Linked DNA regions of Astyanax mexicanus. The protein of the gene in region 2 interacts with the protein of the main gene of each other region in a biochemical or structural test. Links are inferred from orthologs where the notes say so. Each region holds a gene or a part of one and is shown on either strand. Other genes may lie near its edges.

The links. The genes of interacting proteins can lie anywhere in the genome.
Region 1: the proteins of foxa2 (region 2) and hoxa5a form a complex in vitro, tested with the Homo sapiens proteins (2 studies listed by BioGRID). The link is inferred for Astyanax mexicanus from reciprocal best matches to the Homo sapiens genes FOXA2 and HOXA5.

Annotation. Positions count from the first base shown.
Region 1 is NC_064410.1:62,555,881-62,566,911, forward strand, and holds the start of hoxa5a (homeobox protein Hox-A5a), read right to left. Parts: upstream 4,818-11,031; 5' UTR 1,939-4,817; coding exon 1,371-1,938; intron 605-1,370; coding exon 357-604; 3' UTR 1-356. UniProt on the Homo sapiens protein: Sequence-specific transcription factor which is part of a developmental regulatory system that provides cells with specific positional identities on the anterior-posterior axis. Also binds to its own promoter.
Region 2 is NC_064421.1:21,261,201-21,271,715, forward strand, and holds foxa2 (forkhead box protein A2), read right to left. Parts: upstream 5,160-10,515; 5' UTR 4,955-5,159; coding exon 4,757-4,954; intron 4,168-4,756; coding exon 2,962-4,167; 3' UTR 2,539-2,961; downstream 1-2,538. UniProt on the Homo sapiens protein: Transcription factor that is involved in embryonic development, establishment of tissue-specific gene expression and regulation of gene expression in differentiated tissues.

The DNA of each region.
Region 1 (11,031 bases), on a different chromosome or scaffold from region 2:
CAACGTTAACTGTTTGAGCACTTTTCGTAAGAAATGGACATAAGTTAGAAGTTTAGCCTACACGTTCATGTGGATTTTCTAATTCTACATACAAGTTTACAACGCAGCGGTCACCTCACACAAACATTACTGGATGGACAATCCAAAGTAAACGGTTGTTTTTTACGCCAAGTGCAGAACGTAGGGGGCGTTTACTGCAAACGGCCAGTGGAAAGTCTCTCGAAATCAAGAAGGTGGAGGGGTAAATCATATCACTTAATTTTCCCAATTCACCTTAATTACAGAGTGCATACAATAAGGATAAAATAGAATACACATACGCACATATACACGTGCACGCATATACATGCACGCGTTCAAGGCCTGTATACACCCCCCGCAGCAGCCATGCTCATGCTTTTTAGCTTGTTGTCCTTTTTCCACTTCATCCTCCGATTTTGAAACCAGATTTTGATCTGTCGTTCTGAGAGACAGAGCGTGTGGGCAATTTCTATTCGCCGTCGTCGTGTCAGGTACCGGTTGAAGTGGAACTCCTTCTCCAGCTCGAGGGTCTGGTAGCGCGTGTAGGCTGTCCTCGCCCTCTTTCCCTCTGGGCCAGACAAGTCTGCAAACATCCACAGTGTCACAAAGTCACAAAACATCAACTTAACCAAACATTTTACCACGGAAATCTGATATTTGGCATTATCTTGATGTTAAATATACGACAAAATTGAACATGCCGAATTCCTTTATATAAATTATATATACTCTCATTTTTAAACATACTGAGCGTGTAGGCCACATTCTAAATTAAACATACAATTCATATAAACCTCTATACATTTTATGCTTTAACATGATTTTTATATCGTGCATGCCATGTACATATAGATTTCACATATACACTGTACATGTACATTTATTCTGAAATATACGTTCAATCCTTCATTTATTAAGATTTCTGAAAGATTGGACAAGACAAACCTATCTTAATCAGATGCACGTATAGTAATCGCTTTAGTACATATTCTGCGTTCAATCTGACCTATGTAAAGTTTATATGGCCCAACATTTCAGATGTTTTAATGTAAAAACAGGAAACAAACTACAGTGCTAAATCGCCACTGTCACGCAGCAACTTGTATCTCTAAAATAAAGGAATACTTTACAGGAGAAGGGAAACCCCCTCTTTAACCTTCTTAACTTCCAGTGGAAGTCGCTATAAAAAGATTTTATTTAAAGTAATTTTGGAGTATTTCCTTGGCCTATTTATCATGCCATTCTGAGGCAATGTACAGGAAAACTGCTTAAATTAAGATATATTACATTTGTCTGGCATTTATGTTACCACATATGCATTTTTCTTTACATATCTTAGTTTTTTTTACCATGACTCAGATGAAGTTTTCGCATCCAGGGGTAGATCTGAGGCTGGGACGTCTCGGACACACTCTGTGAAGTCGTCTGCGCACTTCCCGTGGGCTTCTCTTCCTCCACGCTGTTGCACGTTTTGGGGACGTCCTTGCACCCCAGCCCGGGGTTGCCCGTGGAGACAGTAGAATTTGTTATGGAGCTTTTCAGGGCGCGGTGAGCTGGTTCGCTAACCGGAGAACTGTCGACGGAAGAGCACGGCAGCGAGTCGGAAGGAGGTGACTGGGGAGTAGCGTTACTCGCGGTGATCGGCTGACTGTACCGGGCGTCAACAGGCGTCGCCGTTGGACTCTGGCTGTAGCTTTGAGCCTGTTCTCCGGAAGGGACGAAGTGGCCGGTCGTGGAGCGACCGGTACTGAGGTCCATGCCGTTGTATCCCGCTGTCCCGTAGCCATACCTGCTGGAATGCATGCCCGTAGAGTCTCGGTATTGGTCGCCTGAACCGTGATCCCCATAGTTATGTAACGGATAGTCCGCGCCATTTGGATAGCGACCGCAGAATGAGTTTACAAAATAAGAGCTCATTGGTTGGTTGACAGCGATTACCTGATAATTGCTCTGCCGGTATTATTGTTATTATTACCACCGTGGAGAGAACAACAATGCCGCGCGTGCTTGATTTGTGTCTCTTGATGCTTTTGCGCGTCTATTGCACCCTTGCACAATTTATGATGAATTATGGAAATGACTGAGACACAGACTTCATGCTCTCTTACGTAGGCGCCCAAATATGGGGTATGGGTTGAAGTCACGTGTTTTTTGTTGACCAGTCGTAAATCCTGTGTGATGACCTCCAGCGGTAAACTCACGCGCGAGCAGGAAATCTGGGTGGAATTGTTTGAAGGCTCTAGCGGTGCTGTTTAGAACTGTAGTGTTGCGCCACCCTTTGGTATAACCGAAGAATTCCCCCCTCACTGCCCTACTCGAGGCTACAGGCTGGGACAGGGTCATGCAGAGGTTAACGACTTTGCAGTGGAAAAATTATCACTGCTGAAACAAAACACAATACCGTGACCTCGCTGGAAAACGCTCCGAAACATTTCGTTGGGTACAATGCAATCAAACAGAATAAACAAAAAGCAAGCGATCCAGTGAAATAGCAATATCAGATATTAAAAGAAAATGAAAGCGTATTTTAAAAGCAGCCTCTCTGAAGCAAAGAAAAAATCCACAAACAATAAAAAATAATAAAAACTGTTCATTATTTTGAACTCATTGTTAAAAGCCATACCTTCCAAAAAACACATATCTACACAGTGCTCAAATCCTCCTTTAAATTTGAGAGAAATAAAATCTGGAGTAAAGTGCAGAGATGCAGATGCAACAAAATGAAGTCTCCCGAAAGATCAATATTTCCCTAAATCTTTTAAATATTCTTCACACATCAGTTTTACAACATGCTACTTTTTTAATTGCATTACTAAACTAACCCCATGTTTAAAAATGCAAGTTAAAAAATAAAGAAATCAGCTCAAATCTTTAAATTAAACCTTATGATGCGATAAGAAAGCAGTAGATCACGTATAGCAAGTCGATCAGTTAAATAAACCTCTTGTTAAAGAGTGCATGTAAATGAGGTGTGTGTGTGTGTGTGTGTGTGTGAGAAAATTCTTTTTTTAGCCTTTAGCATTTATTTTTTTTACTTGAAACTCAAATGCTAAAATTGCAAATATTTTTAAGCTCTACAAAATCTACCTACTACCACACAAAAGACACAGATTCAACACCGCAACGGAGAAATTGGAATTGGAGTAATACTCATTGTTAAGCTCATCTCTATCGTAGCCAGAAACGTCTAACCAATAACTAAACGACAGCAGATATAACACGAGGAATACAGTCAGACTGAGACATCACACATGGGCGATAAAAGCGTTGATGCTTATAACTGGCCTGTGACGTTGTCGTAAAATAAAACCATGCATAAAACCTCGCTTGTGCGCAGTAAAAAGCTGCGAGTGCACTACGACAGAGATTTTGCTGCGTATCGAATAAAAGCAGTGATACATCCTCAGTGAAGGAATCGAAAAGAATTTTGTAAGTTAGAAACCTCGCTAAATAAAAATGAATTATGATTTTTGCATACGCATTGGTAAGCTGTCACCAGACAGTTTTTTGACCTAAAAATTAAACGACAAAGGATACGGAATTAAAACTATTTGATACAACATTAGGAATTATTTAAACTGAATTTGACCATGAGAGCAGGGCATATGGATCAGCAGCACAATTAAATATTTTAAAATGTTTTTTATTTTTCAGATTTGAGTATTAAAACCCTCGATACAGCTACTCGTTGCAAGGTATGTTTGGTTGCAAGATGTATGGTTATCAGAATTGTAATGATTTAAATATAAAGGGCTTTTCAGATGAATAACGTCAACGTCAACATAACATCACATGACGGGGAAAAGTAGTACAGTACTGAAAAATGCATTCTATCCATTTTGCTTCAAATAGTGCAAACGTTTTAATACTATTTGCTTAATACCGAGTAAATTCGCTAGTGTGAGATCAACACTGTTAGTGTTATATGTTAATTTAAAACTAACAGTGTTGATTTAACACTAGCGAATGTATTGTGTACAAATTACTTTACAATTGTAAGAGATTGGTCAAGCCAATATATTAAAACGTTTAGTATAGTGACACAGTGATTTTAAAAATATGTAACTGAGGTTAACGGTCTAATTCAAAACAGATCTATATGTCACATACTCTTAAGAGGAAACAGGCTGGTCTAAATAGCAAGCAAGCGTCTGAAAATAGAACCAGAACAGATTTTCCCCACACTCCTTCCAGACCTTCATCGCCATGTAGGCAAGATCAAAACATTTGTACAGAAGTTGCACTCCAAAGGGCATGCTTTTGAACGCCATGCACTTTACAGGTTTACAATCATTAATTTTAACCTCTGCAAACATAGAACCTATGCAATTCTTATCTGTGCTTTATGTCACAGCGCCCCCAGATGGTTGGTTTAGAATCTGCCTCTGCGACAGACCGAGACAACACCACATGTTAGGGCTATATTTTGGCAAAGGCCTAAACGTCTATAATGAGATTGCCAGTGCGCCTTTGCTGTCAGCAGTACGTGAACACTAATCATCAAACCCTCCACTCCAGTTCACACTGGTATCAGGACCCCAGCCAAGTTTGTGTTTTTTCCAGGCATTTTTTCGTCGGTCTAAGCTGAAAGAAATGTCTTGTAATCACAACTGATGTCCAGACTATTATTCGCAGATTAATCGCAAATTATCTTACTAGGCGTAAACATCTGATTTCCCCCCAAAAAATAGAAAGCAACCGGTCGTTTTTGAGCACTGACAACAATACAAATGTCATATTTTGAGAACAATAATGATAATAAAATAACTTTTAACATATGTTTTAGCATAAGGTTCTAGACTCCTACCAGTCATAGCAGTAGAACGTGGATCCCAGAACGTGGGAAACATCTGACAGCTGTCCAGCTCAAAGTGCAGTCCATACATCCAGTAAGAAAGCATCCTAGCGGTGCCCACACGTCCTTTAGCTTAGAGATCCTCACCCACGGCGTTGAAATAAAGCTGTAAGAAACAAAACTACACAAACAAACAAATATATCAACAGCGAACGCTGCCGGAGAAAACAAGCGCGAGCGTAGGAGCGAGCCGCGCGACAAGAATGCAGCCCTATTCTGGGGAAGGGAAGCATGCACATAAAAAGTTCATGTGCATGGGACCTTGAGGTCATGTGACCACCGCTTGCCAATAGGAACTCGTGTAGGCTCGTAAAGTTGTGAAGCGGAGTAGTAAATTTTCATAAACAACAACAGATTTATAGTCGCGTCCTGGCTAAAGGAGGAGAAGGAGGAGCTAGAAAGGAGGGATTTTTGCAAGGCGCCATTTTACATAGAGGAGGAGCACAGAGAAAGCTGTGCTGTGTTGCATACCGAATCAAAAACCATTATGCAAATCCTTACAGCCCTGATTAACGTAAAGCGCGGAACCAGTGAGCCTTTACCAGTCAGAGGTGCTTCACCAATCAACGCTTTACCTTCGCTACAGATATATGACAACGCATGAACATGGGTACATATGCATAATATATAAGCGTATATAGTAAACTTAGAGGTATAGTGTACATGATGCACCATATTTTCTCACCATATATTTTTTCATATTTTCTGTTGAACATAGTGTATGTGTTTCTATATGTTGATGAAACAGATGTTCTCTTTTTGAAATGGCTAGGTTTAAACAAGCTCGCATGTATTTAATATGTGACAGTGACACGTTATTCAGCAAGTACATAAGCGTCTGTGTTCACGTCTAGACTGCTTATTATGTTACTGTATCATATATGTGTGCGCTCACCAAGACTCTTCTTTTTACTATAGACAGTAAGAAAGTTATTCTCTTGAAATGGCATGGTCCAAAAAATGTTCTTCATACAATCTGTATAAATTAAAATCAATCAAAATAAAAATAGTGACAATTTGACAATACTTCTACTAGTATCTCGGTATTATTGCTTTTTGAACATATATGGTTGTGCTGGACTAAATTATACAGTATAAGACATTCTCTGTCTTGTATAGATAGACTTTTTGTAATGTCATGTTTTAGATAAAAATGGAAAAGCTGCATGATATATTAGAATTAGAGATTTAAAAAAAGTTAAAGTAAAAAAATCAAAGTCTGGGTATATTTAGGTCATGGTTACTTGTACAGTGCACAAGACAGTAAGCAGCACCAACAAAGATAATTCATTAATAATTTATTTCTCACTTTATTCACGTTATTTCTGCATTGGATCTGTACACAAATGTATTGCTTCCATCATGTAATGAGAATCAGGTCATGGTTCTCATAAACTGATTCACTTTAATATTACTGTTAAATTAATTAATTTGCTTAATCATTTACCTTATCCTACTGGTTTTGTAGGATTGCACATCATTACTACTGGATAATATTTGACTGATGTTAACTAAGTTCCAAAGATATGGTACTGTCACCAATACTGTACATTAAAATTGTTCTAACTATTAACAACTTAAAAAGGGTTCTTAAAACAATTTAAAAAATTATTTGGCTAAATGTTTATAAAATAATTAACCATATATCTGGTCAAATTTAATTTAAAGATTTTTGTTTAAGTTTAGGCCTAAACTTAACTTAACTAAACAGGCCTATTTTTTTTACACAGAATAATGGTAACTCAACACTTCATCAGATCAATTTAGCAACCATAGTGTTAATATAACACTGGCACGTTTGCTTTGTAAGTAAAAAAAAATATCATAGACATAATATGTAAAATACGAATTAGTTATTTTAAAGAATACAAGCAAAGTACATTGCGTAAATACATTAATTTAATCAATTTATGTAGGACACAAGGTAAATCATATGTAATTTTTCTAGGAAGTTCGTTATGCTGGTGTAGGCCCTGCACTGCATATTATTTGATATCAACATGCTTTCTTTGTAGAGTCTTCGAGCGTGTTATAAAATGTATTAATTTATTAAATACTACTTTCTGATTGGCCAACGTTGAATGACAAGGCAGTCATTAACAACCAATAATAAAGACATTAGCCGTTTAGCTTACATACAAACAAGCACATCCAACTATCAGATCAAAGGTAAAAAAAAAATGAATTCATACCTGATGATCTGCTCCAAGGCTTCATCTTTGAGCAGATGCTGGTCAGGGCTGTTGTTCCACATATTCCACATCATAGGAAGTCTCTGAGAAATCCCAGTTTTTTTGTGATGAGCGCCATGTATTGATAATTAACGATGTAGATAGTAATTCTTTATTTCTACACTGTAGCTGAAGCTGAACGCAATGTTCATCTGCTTGTACTGCATAAGGGAACTGCGCATTACTGGGAAAAACACCCACAATGTAAGATGAATTCATTTTTCGCTTCCAGTTGATTTGTTGGACCAGAATCCTCAGTGTCGTTTTTACGAGGTAGGGAGATATATGATGCCATTACAGCCAGAGTTCACACCAACCTGAAACTTACAGACATTGGGCGTTGGATATCACATGGTTAGAACCTATGCAGTTACCAACCAATCAGAAACGGCGTGTGTTTTTATAGGTTTTTAGTGACAAGCTCCATTTCACACGTTTCTTCATTTAGACACTGTAGAAGCGTTTCCTTTAAAAAAAAAAAATACATTAATTCTTATCCATCTATATATCTCTATATATATTTTATGCAGTAAATTTACCAGTTGTCAAAACATCTTTATATTAATACAGGCAAATTGTTTTGTATTTGTAGTCATCTTAAACCCCGGGCCAAATTACATTTGTTGTAAACACGTCACATTAGAAAGCATAATTACAATTGCTTAATTTAACATTTTGTTATAATGTACATGTGTCATAATTTCCAAACTAAATAGAAATCATGTATAAAACGTGCAGATTTTTATAAATACGTTTGTGTCCATGAGTACTTATTTTTATTTCAAATATCTAAACGCGCAATTTGCCCGAGGGTGCACAAGCGTTTGCATAAATCTGAATATTTGATGCGTAATGTTCTGATACAGAACAATGACAATATGTTGGTTAAATGAGACAATTCTCATTCTCTGTATTTGTTTGTAAAATTATTTTTTCGGGAAGCAATAGTTAATATGTTAATAATATTTTCTAAAATCTTAGACAAAACAAAACAAAAAAAATCTATCCACCACGTTTTGACAGATTTCCTTATGATTTGTTTGCTTTCCTTTTTTACATTCATTGTCCACAGTTAATATACCCATTTTCTTACACTCGGCGAACAGAATTTTAGAATAATGGAATTTTGTATTTATGGAAGAGCTAGCAATCACAGCCCGAGGCAAAAAAAAAAAAAACAGACCACAGAATTGTACCACCTGTATTTTACCGTAAACAAAACAATAATAAAGCTGTAACAAACTGTGTAATTTGAAGCCATTTAAAAATCAGCAAATTTCCTTTTTTTTATTGGAAAAACTAGCCCTACCGCATAACTCATTTTGAGGGCTTGACCTTAAAATGAATGCAACTTGAGTTACACCGCAAATGTAACCGTGTTAAAACCGTGCAATATCACATGAAAGCCTGACTGCCGAAACACATGTGTAATGGGAAATGCAACACCCTGGACGGCAGGATGACACGATGTTTTAATCCTGTCGAACACTGCATCCAATATCATAACGAAGGCATAATTGAGATACACCACTTGTAACTGTTTAGTCTGTTTGATGAATCAGCAAGATGGCAACATAATATAATTACACAATATAAATAAGCTATAAATATTTCAGTCATTCATTATATATTATAAAGAAAAACGAGAGTAGCAGAACAGGGCGCCAACAGCATGCTTTACGGTGAGTTACTCTTTATTCCGAAGCAAAATCAAAATTAAATGATCACAAGAGATTGTAGTGCCTGCTTTATCACTATGTTAACGAACAAGCAGCCAATTCTATGGTATCTTTGCATGTATACATGTATAAATACACTCCTAAAAATAAAACTCCTAAATATGCTAAAAAAAAAAAAGATTGACTGTTGTGATAAAAATTACATAACAAAAACGAGATTAAGACTTTAAAATGCTCTTTACACTGTTCACTACACAAACGTATTTCTTTATAGAACTAAATGCAGCTCTTCTATGCCATCGCACAAAGAACCTTTTGGTGGCATCCTTTATTTATTTATTGATTTTTTTTAATTGCACGTTTTACAAAATCCGTCTTACCAGTGGGCCTATGGGCTCACAATCGTGAACACAAACTTTTTAAGCAATATCGTTTTGAAAGTGTAATGTAATTACTGCTAACCAGCGACGTATTGAGAAGCTTTAAACCCTTTTGGTAGATCTTTTCTGACACCTAGTGGCGAGAAGTTGTAACAGCATCATGAACACAGCGTTTTTGCTTCTTTCATTGCCGCTGGGACTGAGGTGAAAATTTTGTTGGGTGGTTGCACAAGCAGTGCTGTTACGTAAGCTGTTATGCGTTCTGCATTGTTGCTCATTTCATAGTACATATTGCTCTATTGCGTGACAATAAAAAAAAAATTCTCCTGACTGGTCTTGATTATCGCCCTTCTTATCACCGCGTAGGTCTGCAATATTCAGACAAAAGGTGCCTGAGTGGGGCCAGCCTGGGCCAGAGACGCCAATAAAACTAGATTATTTCCGCTGGCTTTTTGTTTTCAGTCTCACGGAGAGCAGAATGGGGGAGAGAGAGGAAAAGCACTAGTCCAAATGGGTGCTGGGCTTTCTGAAAACTAATTGTGTCTGGACAGCCATAAAGCCATTAAACGCGGAATGCCAGACAGTGTTGCAGGCCCTGCGCTTAATGGCCACGGCTTCGAGGTCTTTGAGGCCTTTGAAGTCGGCGTCCATCTGCGACTCATGTGCGTCAAGTCCAGTCTGGTATGCGGTATACTTATATATTCTTTCAGTAAGTTTCCTCTAGGTTTACTCTACCACACCAATTCAACCAGTGAGTTGAGTATTGGTTAATTCCTACAGGAAATAACTGAAGAGCTAGGACTGCCTAATCATGACGGGCTTTTGCTCCATGCCATAGATAGTGTTAAATCAGTTCTCGAATGCACGCATGGAGTGATGTTCCCTGGCCTTCAGCTGTTGGGTCTAATAACATCTCTCTTGTGTTGCGTTCTCTTGCCTCGCAGCGCTTTGCACCCCATAAACGGTTATAGCGGTAATTGTCTTTTATGGCAGTATACAGCTAGCAATCTCTTCTGCCAGAACAGTGGACTGCGGGATGGGCCTGCTGTTCCACCCGAGTCCCAACATGCCTCAAATGGCTCGCAGGTCCGCAGATAGGCAGTGTGTTATAGGTAGCATGCATACATCTATATATAATATTATTTATATGCATGCAATGCGTATGCATTTCCTCGTTTACGACTTTTTAAAGATGGAAATGCACATATTGAAATCTATTTTCAATCAGGATAAAAACACTATCATTTTACTATGGGTGGAGAAACAGTGTTGCTATTTTGTTGCTATTAACTATATAGCTTGATATAAATCCAGTTTTTAGAGCTTAATAATAATAATAATAATAATAATAATAATAATAATAATAATAATAATAATAATAATAATAATAATAATAATAATGGGTGTTATTATTACCAAGAATAATATGAATAACAGTGTTAGTAGTAAAAGAAGTAACAAAACACTAGCATACCATTAGACATATGATTTTTTTATTCTTCAATAAATAAAATACAAATTACATTTGAGATATTTAAAGTAAACAAAAGAACAAATATGACTGACCATGACAGACAGCCCATGAGGTATTTACTTTGTTGACTACAGTGTCTAATTTTTTTTTTAGCTATCTTTAATAGGCCTATCTATCTTCCACACTCCCTGAAAATTCCTTAATTCAACAATTCTTAATAGAGCTCATGTCAGCACGGATTGAGAAAGTGTCCAAACTCGAAAACTTTAATAGTAAACAATCTAGGTAGTCATAAAAATTAAGGTAGGCTAATCACCAACAAAATACTATAACATTTCTAGAGCACACATGACCTTGTAACCTCTTTTCAGTGTGAACACTACTTTGCACT
Region 2 (10,515 bases):
ATTATTATTATTATTATTATTATTATGACAATATAGTAATTATCATTACTATTATAACTGAATATGAATATTGAATGTGTTTTAGCTGGTTAATGGTCTCGGAAAAATGTAACAGAAATTACACCAGCTAGGGGCTGATTTTCTTTATTAATGGATACATAATCAGCATTACTATGGTGTTATTTAAGATTTGTCTTTTTTTTCTCTTTATCTGTTAACCGCTTTCGTCACGTTACTAAATAGTAAAAAACGAAAGCTGTCTGGCTCAGTCTAAAGGCTTCATATACACGTGCGATCAGACTCAGGCTGTTCAGATATCCGCACTGACTGCATTTCATCGATTGCGCAGATTACTGGTGCCAGATTGCTTTACTGCTCGGTTAGCTTCAGTGCGGGAGCGCACGCGGCGAGAATGTCCAAGATTTATTTGAGTGGCACTTTGAGCAGAATAATACAACTCAGCATGACTGGTAAAGTAAACCTGCTTTCTCTGAGTCCTTGTCTGTCTTTAAAAACATTAAGAAAACTGCCATTTCTACACCGCTGACCTGTGGGAAATCAGTTGAGGGTAGCGTTTGGCTCGGTGAAGCACCTTCCTGAATTTTTCCGCAGTATAAAGGCCGTCATCAATCAGCAGCAATCAGAAACAAGTCGCTGCTGCTCCCGCTGCTTCTGTTATTGCCAAAGTTCGCAGCTCCAGAGTTTTCCAGACACAGTGTTGCTAAAACCGGCGCGAGCTCCGTGCGAAACCCATCCCGAACTTCTAAAAAACCTGCACACGCCGTCTGCAAAAGCGCACGTGTATGAAAGAGTGTGAATGAAAGGCAGAAATAGTTCCTACCTGTGCTGAGTGAGCGCCCTGCAGCTGGAGACACCCGCCTGCCTTCTGCAGAGTGCTTAGAGGCATCGCGGCATTTATTTGAGCTCCAACTCTGTCACTGTTGACTTTAGCACAAAGCAAAGATTTCGCTTCCCCGCTAGTTTAAAAAAATGATTATTTTACAGAGATATCGATCAGTGCTCTATAAAAAATCAGCCTAGCATTATGTCTAAAATGAGGGGGACCGAAATTTAATGTCTGTGTAAATTTACCTAGAAGTGACGTGCTCACATACAGAGTTTACATTCTCGATATTTGGTCGTCCATGTACACATCCCATATATGTATTAATACCATATTTTCATTGTTTACCAGCTTTTGTTTATTCGCAGATTGGGGGGATTTGAAACAGGGCTGCAGGGCTCTAAAATAAAGGGAGCAGGAACGGCCTCTGTCCACACTTCAACCTGGACAGAGTGGGATTCCTCCCTGATCTACAGTTTGTGTGCTAGGTTCTGTGCATGATCTACTTTAGAGGAAGGGTCATTAGATTATACTACAATGTTCACATGTGGAGGGTCTGCCAGCTAACCTGTGCTTTAGGCACTTTTAAAAGCCCAAAAACATTTACTTGACCAAAAATATAATATGTTGTAAAATTGCCAGATTAGATGCATGCTGAGATAGTTATTTACCCCGCCAGAAATTCACTTTTTATACAGTATCATCCTGTATATTTACTAAAGTTGAATGCCTTTGCAAAGGTTCACACAAGAAATGACACAGATGTGAGAGGGGATTTAAGAGGTACAGAATCGATGTTGACCCTGTTTAAATGGTTACTATATAGAGTGCACAATAATAACAGAGTCTACAATAATAATAATAATAATAATAATAATAATAAAAAATAATAATAACAATAATAATAATAATTATTATTATTATTGTTATTATTATTATTATTATTATTATTATTATTATTATTATTATTATCCTCATCATCTTAGTTTTTGAATCTTGTTTTTGTTGGTTTTGGTGTCTTAAATTGTAAATGACTAAATGATAGTGTATGTCTTAATGATAAATAATAATTAATAATAATAATAATAATAGTGGACATCTAGAATAACATATACGGTGCGTGTATAATAAGAAATTTGTATGTGTCTATAAAAATATATTTTCAATACTTATAGGAAGGGGTATTGAAAAATAGATATGGTGTGCAGCTGGATTCAGGGTTTATTTTTTTTATTTAGTTTTTTTTTTACCTTTTTTTTTACAAAACAGGAAGGCTTGGTCGTGAGATTTTATTAAAATCCATTTGCCTGCTTGAAAGATTCACCTCTTTAAACACCCGTTTTGAATCTTAATTTTGAGTGCAGCTTTTGAATACTAATTTTATGCTAGATCCCACTGAAAGCTCTTGAGATACGCGGCTCTGTTTACTGAGGAAGAGGTTCTGGAAAGGAAGAAATCCCAGCAGAGAGGTTTTGCACGCTTATGATCATCTGCGTGTTTGGGTAAAAACAACAGAAACCCATCTTGGTTCTTATATTTCTGTTATACATATTATTATAGTTTTCTAAATTCTCTGAACGATTAAAAAAAACTTTTTTTTTTATTTATTTATTTTTTTTTATTAGTGTTGGAATTAAATACCCATTAAATCCGAGTGAAATATTTTGATAAAAAGACAAATTCACCGTCATCAGTAAAAATTCAAATAACACTTTAATATAGATTCTGTTCTTGTCAACTACAAGAATACACATTTACAAGCCATAAATAAGGTTTGGGATTATTTTTGTTGTTGTTTTTTTATTCACAACATGGACTGTTCTTTGTCCCTTTTGTTGGTGCAAGACTTTCAGTTGTCAGGCGCGATTTTTTGGTCCATTTTGCCTTGAGTTCATGACATTCGTTTCTTCACAATGTTTGTTTTTATTATTTGTTTTTATTATTGTTCCCTTTTTTTTTTTTTACAAAATATTTACTAATAAACTCGACCACTAAATTAACGAGAATAAACGGTAGCAAGAAAAATGTCCAGAGAATACATAATGCACAAAATGCATTTTCTTTACAAATGTACAAAGTTCCTTTTAAGGGTCCGTAAGGCTGTGCGAGAACAGCCTTTAGGATGAGTTCATGATGGGCCTGGAGTACATGCCTTGGTAATAGGACGTGTCTGCAGCCAGCGGCGACGAGTCGAAGCTGGCTTTACTGGCCACAGATCCCATGGAAAGGGCTGCGCCGGCCATGGGAGAGCCGTAGCCGTAGTGCATGACCTGCTCGTAGGCTTTCAAGTCCATTTTATGGTGCGGGTGGTGCTGCTGCTCGGAGGACATGAGGTTGTTTATGGAGAACGGGTGGTTGAACGAGTAGTGGTGCTCAGGTTTAAGGTGGGCGTCGTGCGCAAGGACCGCGTGATGCTGGACTAGGAGTTGCTGCTGCTGTTGCTGTTGCTGCTGCTGGTGTTGGGTGGTCGGCGAATCCGCTGGGTCTGGACTCACACCACGGGCGGACTTCATATCTCCCAGCGCGCGCTTGTGGTCATGGACAGGGGAGTGTGAAGGTGGCGTCTCGTTGCCGTTGCAGCTCTCTGGGCTTCCGTGTGAGCCTCCGTCCCCAGCTTTCCGCCCACCGCCCTCTTTGCCCATCATCTTTTCGCACTTGAAGCGCTTCTGTCTGCGCAGGTAGCAGCCGTTCTCAAACATGTTTCCAGAGTCCGGGTGCAGCGTCCAGAAGGAGCCCTTTCCCGGCTTATCCGGTGATCGCGGTACTTTGACGAAGCAGTCATTGAAGGAGAGTGAGTGGCGAATAGAGTTCTGCCAGCGCTGCTGGTTCTGCCGGTAGAAAGGGAAGAGGTCCATGATCCACTGGTAGATCTCACTCAGCGTCAGCATTTTGCTGGGTGACTGCTGGATGGCCATGGTAATGAGTGAGATATACGAGTAGGGCGGTTTGGCGTGCGTATAGCTCCGGCGGTACGTTTTGGGGTCGCGTGCCCTGTTCATGTTTGACTGGCCATACATAGGGCTCATGGGGTTGACGTTGGGGTAGGCACCGAGCGCGTTCATGGCGGGCGCCTGCGCCGTCATGGGGCTCATGCTGGGGCTCAGGGCCGCGCTCATCCCCGTCATGCTCGCACCCATCCCGGCCATCGCCCCGGCGCCCGGAGACATGCCCGTCATGGACGGACTCATGCCCGTGTTCACGTACGACATGTTCATGGTGTTAGCGGTCATGTTAGCCGTCGTGCTCATTCCTGACATCGTCATGTAAGTGTTCATGGAGTTCATTCCAAGGCCAGTGTTCATGTTGCCAACAGAGGTGTAACACTGAAAAGCATAAAAACAGAGAGAAATGTCATTAATGCTGTTAGAAGGAAAAACAACGTTTCTTTACATCTCTATTTCTTTAAATATTTTAACTTATTCTAAAAGCGCGTCAGCATTTCAGTTTTTTGTCAGATGTCCTACTTCTTCCAAACGCATAAAAATACCAAAAAGAGACAAGCAGGTCTTGTAGACGAATGATGAAATCGCATTTAAGTTTAAAAATTAGCCATTAAACGAAGCAAACGAATCGAAACCAATGTTCCTTAAGTAAAAAAAAAGGTGAAAATTAAATATAAGCTTATAAACGAGTGCACAGTGCTATTGGCATATACCCTTCTTTATACATAAGGGCCTGGAATTGCAAGGGAAGTTTGCATTACATGTCAGACACCAACTTTTGTTAGGATAGTGCAGGGCTTCGAGACAGGGGAGGATTTGGAGGCGCCTCAAGTCAATATTTGATCTCAAAGTTAATATTATCTCAGGGCTAATATTGAGTTATATAAAACGGAATAGGCTTTTTTGACTAGAAGAGAAAAGAAAATATTTATATATATATGTACACAGGCTATATTTAGGCAATACCAACCTCAGGTTCTCCGTAGTAGGTGCTCCAGTCTGCGTGTTCGTGTCCTTCCATTTTGACAGCACCAAGCATCCTGGAAGTTTCGTCCACTTTCTCAAAAAACGCTTTCCCACACACGAGCGTCCTCTGGCAGGCTGTGGCTGTTTGGAACCACGGGCTACTCGTGTCGCCGTGCTCTGCTGCCGTCAGGGGCTGGCGCATGTGTGTGTGTTTGTGTGTGTGTGTATCTGTGTGTGTGGGAGGTAGCCGTGGCCGCTGATGACTGGAGCTCAGTGACGCCCGCTTGCGCCTCTTAACGCTGTGATATAAACTGTGAGCGCCGGGCGAGCCTCCAATCCCTTCAGCACTCGGCCCTATTTGAATAATCTGCTCACACCTAGGCGCGAGACTTTCTCCGTTTGCCCCCCTGTCGAGCACCTGCGCCGCTCCAAAAAAAGAGCAGCCTTCATGTGAAAAGATTCATTATGACCTAATCTTATTGTATTCCAACAGGAGAGAGCGGGAAGGGAGGGGTGTTGAGGGATTTGGGGAATGGAAGGGGGGGCTTTATCATGCACAGTCTGGATGATGGAGAATTTTTGTAATGTATAGAAGGAAGTCTGCATCTGTTTATTGCGTTTTTTACGTTAACTTTCGTTCGTTTTAACTAGCTCAACAAACTAAGCATTATAGCACGATCCCCCTCATATCACTTTATAATTGTAACACTTTCAGCAATAAAGTCAGCAACACTGGGTTCTCTTGAACGATACCACAACAGAATCACTTTTAAATACCCCTCAAATACATACACTTTAGCTTTATTCCTTAAAGAAACATATGCAAGCAGATTTGTACATGTGTGGATCGTTTAAAAGGTTTAGAAAACCTTTAGATCGTTAGATGTCCGTTTTTTTACATTTACTTTTTTTACTTTTTAAGAGTGTGCATTATGAAAAAAAATATTACCCAAAATTTATTTATTTTATAAACTTTAAAAAAAACAAAAACAATGCAGCCTATAAGAGGTTGGCATCACCGTGAAGAACCAATTAATGATACCAAGAAATTTTACTGTTCCGTTTGTTAGACTGTCATTGTTCCTCACAGAGCCATTTGATTTGTTTAATAACCTTTATAGAGGCTTGTTTTAATGGTGCATATAACATACAATCCTATTCTAAATATGAATTATATATTTCAATTTTTACATCGTAAAACGAAAAATCCGACGCAGGATTATATTAACCTTAACACGTGATGTATTGATTTATTGATAATGGACTACAAAAGCTACAGCGCAAGTGAAGAGTCAGAAACAGAGCTATGTGCTAAGGTGTGTTTGAGGTGGCTGCTTTGGCTTGTCTTCCGAGTTTGTTTACGTGTGTGTTAATATATGTAACTAATAGCAGGACGTAGTTTGCTAATATAACAGCTTCACTCTTCGCCGGCAGGTCATCCGTGTTGATTTTGCAGAGCTCAGTGGCCAGATTTGATTGCCTTCACTAAACAAAGTGGCCTAACATTTATCCAATGTGTTTGACTATCCACGAAATAGGGGGACCACGCGGGCGAATGCTGATGGGTTTACGCAGGAGAACGTGTGAAGACCCTTGACTTTAACTAATTTGATGTCACTTTACTTATTCGTAGGTCAGTCAAATCTGTTAAGGTCAGTTTTGCACAATGTGCACTATATATAATTGTACAAAAAATGATGGTATTTTACTTTTTTTGTTCTTGAATATCATTATTAATTATCACGAAGGCATGTCATACAAGCCACTGTTACTTTGCTGTTGTAAGCGCTGTTGAGAGCACCCCCTCTTGGTGGGAGAGCTAAGCCACACAGTGGGATACATTTATGTTTTGACAAATATAGGCTAATAGTTTTATTCATGTTGTCGCTCCATATTATCCACAGCCGTTTCTGCATAAGTTTGTGTATTTTGAGGTCTTCTAGACCAGAGTTTACGCACGTCTTACATTTGATTTATTCATTAATGCGCGCTCCGAAAAGCGCGCATTAATACCTAGGTGTTTGGCACGTGCCTGTCCAGCGGTGTTATCGTGTGCTATCTGTTTGATTACGTATTTGCGCAGCACAGGCACACAAATGTCAATATAATCTCGGAGTTTATTTGGACCTGTGTGTAATGTGTAAACGGGGCTGAGGGCGCGCGCTGCGCTGGACACTCGCGCATGCGGAGCTGCCTGACATCGCGTGATGCGCTCAGGGCACCGGTCTGATTCAACACTTCTGCACCGCTAATTCGCGCTCATGTGCATGCCGTTGGATTTAGTGTAGTAAATCTCGCCAGCTGCACGTGCAGCGTAATAGCACGTATATTTACCCAGCCGGCATTTCACAGTTTATTCACGGTTGAATCAACGTCATATTGAGGTTAAATCAACGTTGAATTAGTTTTTTATTTTGAAAAGACTGATAAGTTTTCTTTTTATTCAACATTGCACACTCGAAGAAGTATGTTTTTAGTAAATATATATAAGTACAAAAATATGAAATAAAACCCCTAAATCATTTACATGCTTAAAAATGTCTTTAGTTTGAGGCAGAACTAAGACAACTTTGTCTGTTAACTTTGTCTCTTACTTTCTAATTTGCTGATTTCTTTTTTTAATGCATGCATTTAGATATTTTAAATTCCCTTTTGATGAAAATATAAGTAACTAACTGTAACCTGTATAAGGAGTGAGTTTTTATTTTGTGAGGGATGTTGAACACTGGCCAGCATAGTCATGCCAAGGCGAGCTACATTTTTGGAGTTTGAGCAAAGCATTTTATTGTGCGCCAGACCGATGTGAAATTTGTGAGGGCATTTAACATTTTTTAATCTGCAGTGTCTCGTGTGTACTGCGAATACATAACAGAAGGCATTAACACCCACAGGGGACAGTGCAGTGGGTGGTAATGATTGTGGTTGACTACATTTGGCTAGCATTGTCCATGTCAGCAGACAAAAGACTTTGTCAGAAATCAAATAAACGTTCAAAGGAGGCCCCACACACATGTGCTGTAGGTCAATGCAGCAACCTAGGTTTTGTGGGAAATGGCAAAAGTCATGGCACTTTTTTTTTCTTGTTTTTTTTTCAACTGGTTCCTGTCCCATGACGTGGTATGTCAGTGTATAGGAGTATTTGTACACTGCTGTCTTTGCACTATGTATGTTTGCAGTTATGTTGTTCTTGTTGGCTTGGATTGATGAAGTTCAAAGGATCAATCCGGCTGAGATATAAATGAAACAGTGGGAAGATTCTCAAATTTTACCTACTAAAAGCAAGTTTACATATGTAGATTTTAGGTCTAGCCTGTAAAATGGCCAGATGTTTTGGTCCAAAGGAAGATGCTTTGTCAGTCATAAAGGAGATAAGTGATGGAGATTGATGGAGTGTGGTGTATAGCTGATATTGAGAAGCACTAACATAAGATCTCTAAGAACAAAGGAAGCAGAGTCAGTTTATTCTTTGGATTGTAGTTTTGGCACCTTAAATAGTTATATATTGACCTTATATATTGAGTTATATATTTATATGTTTTTTTTTTATATGTTATGTTTTTTTTGACCAGACACACCATTTTCACATCCTTAAAATGTCAGTGATACATAGTGATACACCCAGCTGTCAACATGGATACCATAGCAACTATTTGACAGCATCTGGGTAACCACCTGATACAATAGCAGCTGACAAGCGACCACATGGGTACCACAGCAACCACTAAGCAATGTCATAAATCACCTGAATTACCATAGTTATCACCCTTCAGAAAAATACCGTAATACTCATCTAGCAAGCACCTAGTAACTTAGTAACACCATAGCAGCCACCCATTAACCAGTTAACAACACATATAGTGGCAACTGATAACACCATAAGAACCAATAGCAACCTTACCACCACCGCACCACGGCAGCAACTTAGCAACCAACTAGCAGCCACTTTGCAATCACCTGCAACACCAGAGCAACGCCCTACATCTATTGAGCTGCAGCATATCAGCCACCTGGGATAGAACAAAGACTCTTAACAACCACCTCAGCAATCAGGTTGCAACACTATGACAACAACCTGGAATACCATGGCAACCACATCAGCAGCCTAGCAACTGTTTGGAAGGGAAGTCCACTTAAGCTGCTAACTATTGTGTTACCTTCTAACTATTAATATCAAATCAAATCAAATTTATTTGTATAGTGCTTTTTACAACTTGTCACCAAGCAGCTTTACAGAAACATGATATATAATAGAAGGTCTATTATAGTTGTGTATCTTAATTGTGTGGGTGCCCTTTTTATTTTGCTGCTATTACTTTTTGCAGTTGTTTTTTTCTTTCTGGGTAGTAAAAGGTTCTCTCCGTTTCTTTCTCTCTTTTTCTTTCTTTTTTTTCTTTTTGCCATTGTGTCAGTTTTATTTGAGGTAAACTTTTTTTCTTATGGGTTGCTTATATAATACATGAATGTAAGGGAAAATTAACTTTCTTGTAATGTCTGAAATGATGCTTACATTTTAATAAAAAATATATTATAAAATATGTTGACATTTTAGAAGAAAAGTTAAATACCATAAAGTATTTGTGAAGGCCTGAGAGGAACTGTAGGATTCCAAAACTTACACTTTGCTTTAAGTGCCTGTACAGGTTGTCATTATTCTGAATGGAGACTTTTAAATGATTATCATGTATGTTGATTAATTTAATGAGTGCTCATGATTAATCCACTAGAACTCAGGTAATTCACTTAAGTACAAAGACTACTCGTACACTTGACTGTTTTCAAGTGGGCAGGTGTGTAGCACGGCGTTCTTTTGGAATATTTTGTTTAAAGTTAATCATTTATGACTGTGATACAGACTGTGAGCGTGCTCAGTAGCGAAGGTCACTTTTTTTGTATTTGGTAAAAACGCGAAGGACCCTGTCTTTAAACAAACAGAACAGGGAGTATTGGCCTATACTTTGTGCCTGATTTACTCTGAACCTGAGGTAGCATATGGCAGGTGCTTTGTGCATAAATGAGAGCCCACAGTTAGTAGAGGTTTTATTAAACACTTAAGGCATAGGATAATTGGCCAAGTATTTATACAATACATGATATTTAACATTTAGTTTTGCTTAGTTTAAAGAGACAAAAAAGCTCCAGCAGTGCCAAGAAGTGCAGCTGATTTGTTTTCAAAGTTTCATATTGTTGAATATATTATATAAATTCTCCTATTTGTTGGTCACGTCCGTCACTGATGATCCATCATGCACCTTTGAAGGCTTTTTGTGTGTTGCAATGCATCATCACTGTGGGTGGCGCCTAGGTGATCCTACTCAAACTCATACATTAGGGCCTGTATTCTAAGCAAATATTGTCTTGGGATCTCTAAACACTGACCTGCATTCTCTCTTTTGTAGACAGGAATTCACCTTTGAGATCGCTAAGAGGTCAGGCTATTTTTAAGCTTCTAAAATTTTTCGGCATCTTCTCATGGGAGGTCTAAAAAGAGGTTCCCTTTGTTGCAACTGTAGGACACTTACATTTTGTGAACATAGCTGCAATGTAATGTGCAACAAACTGGTTCCAACTCCTTGGCATGTCCTGCTAAATCGCATTTTATTTTTTGTTTATATTTTCTATTATGCATGGGTCCATCCAGTCATGGCCAGCTGGACAAAGGTGAACAAGTTTTGTCAAAATTGGTATTTAATGAAAAACAAACGCAACTCTAGGTGTTTGACCTAGAGTTGCAAACGTGTAAATTGTTCATGGGGACCTAGTTCT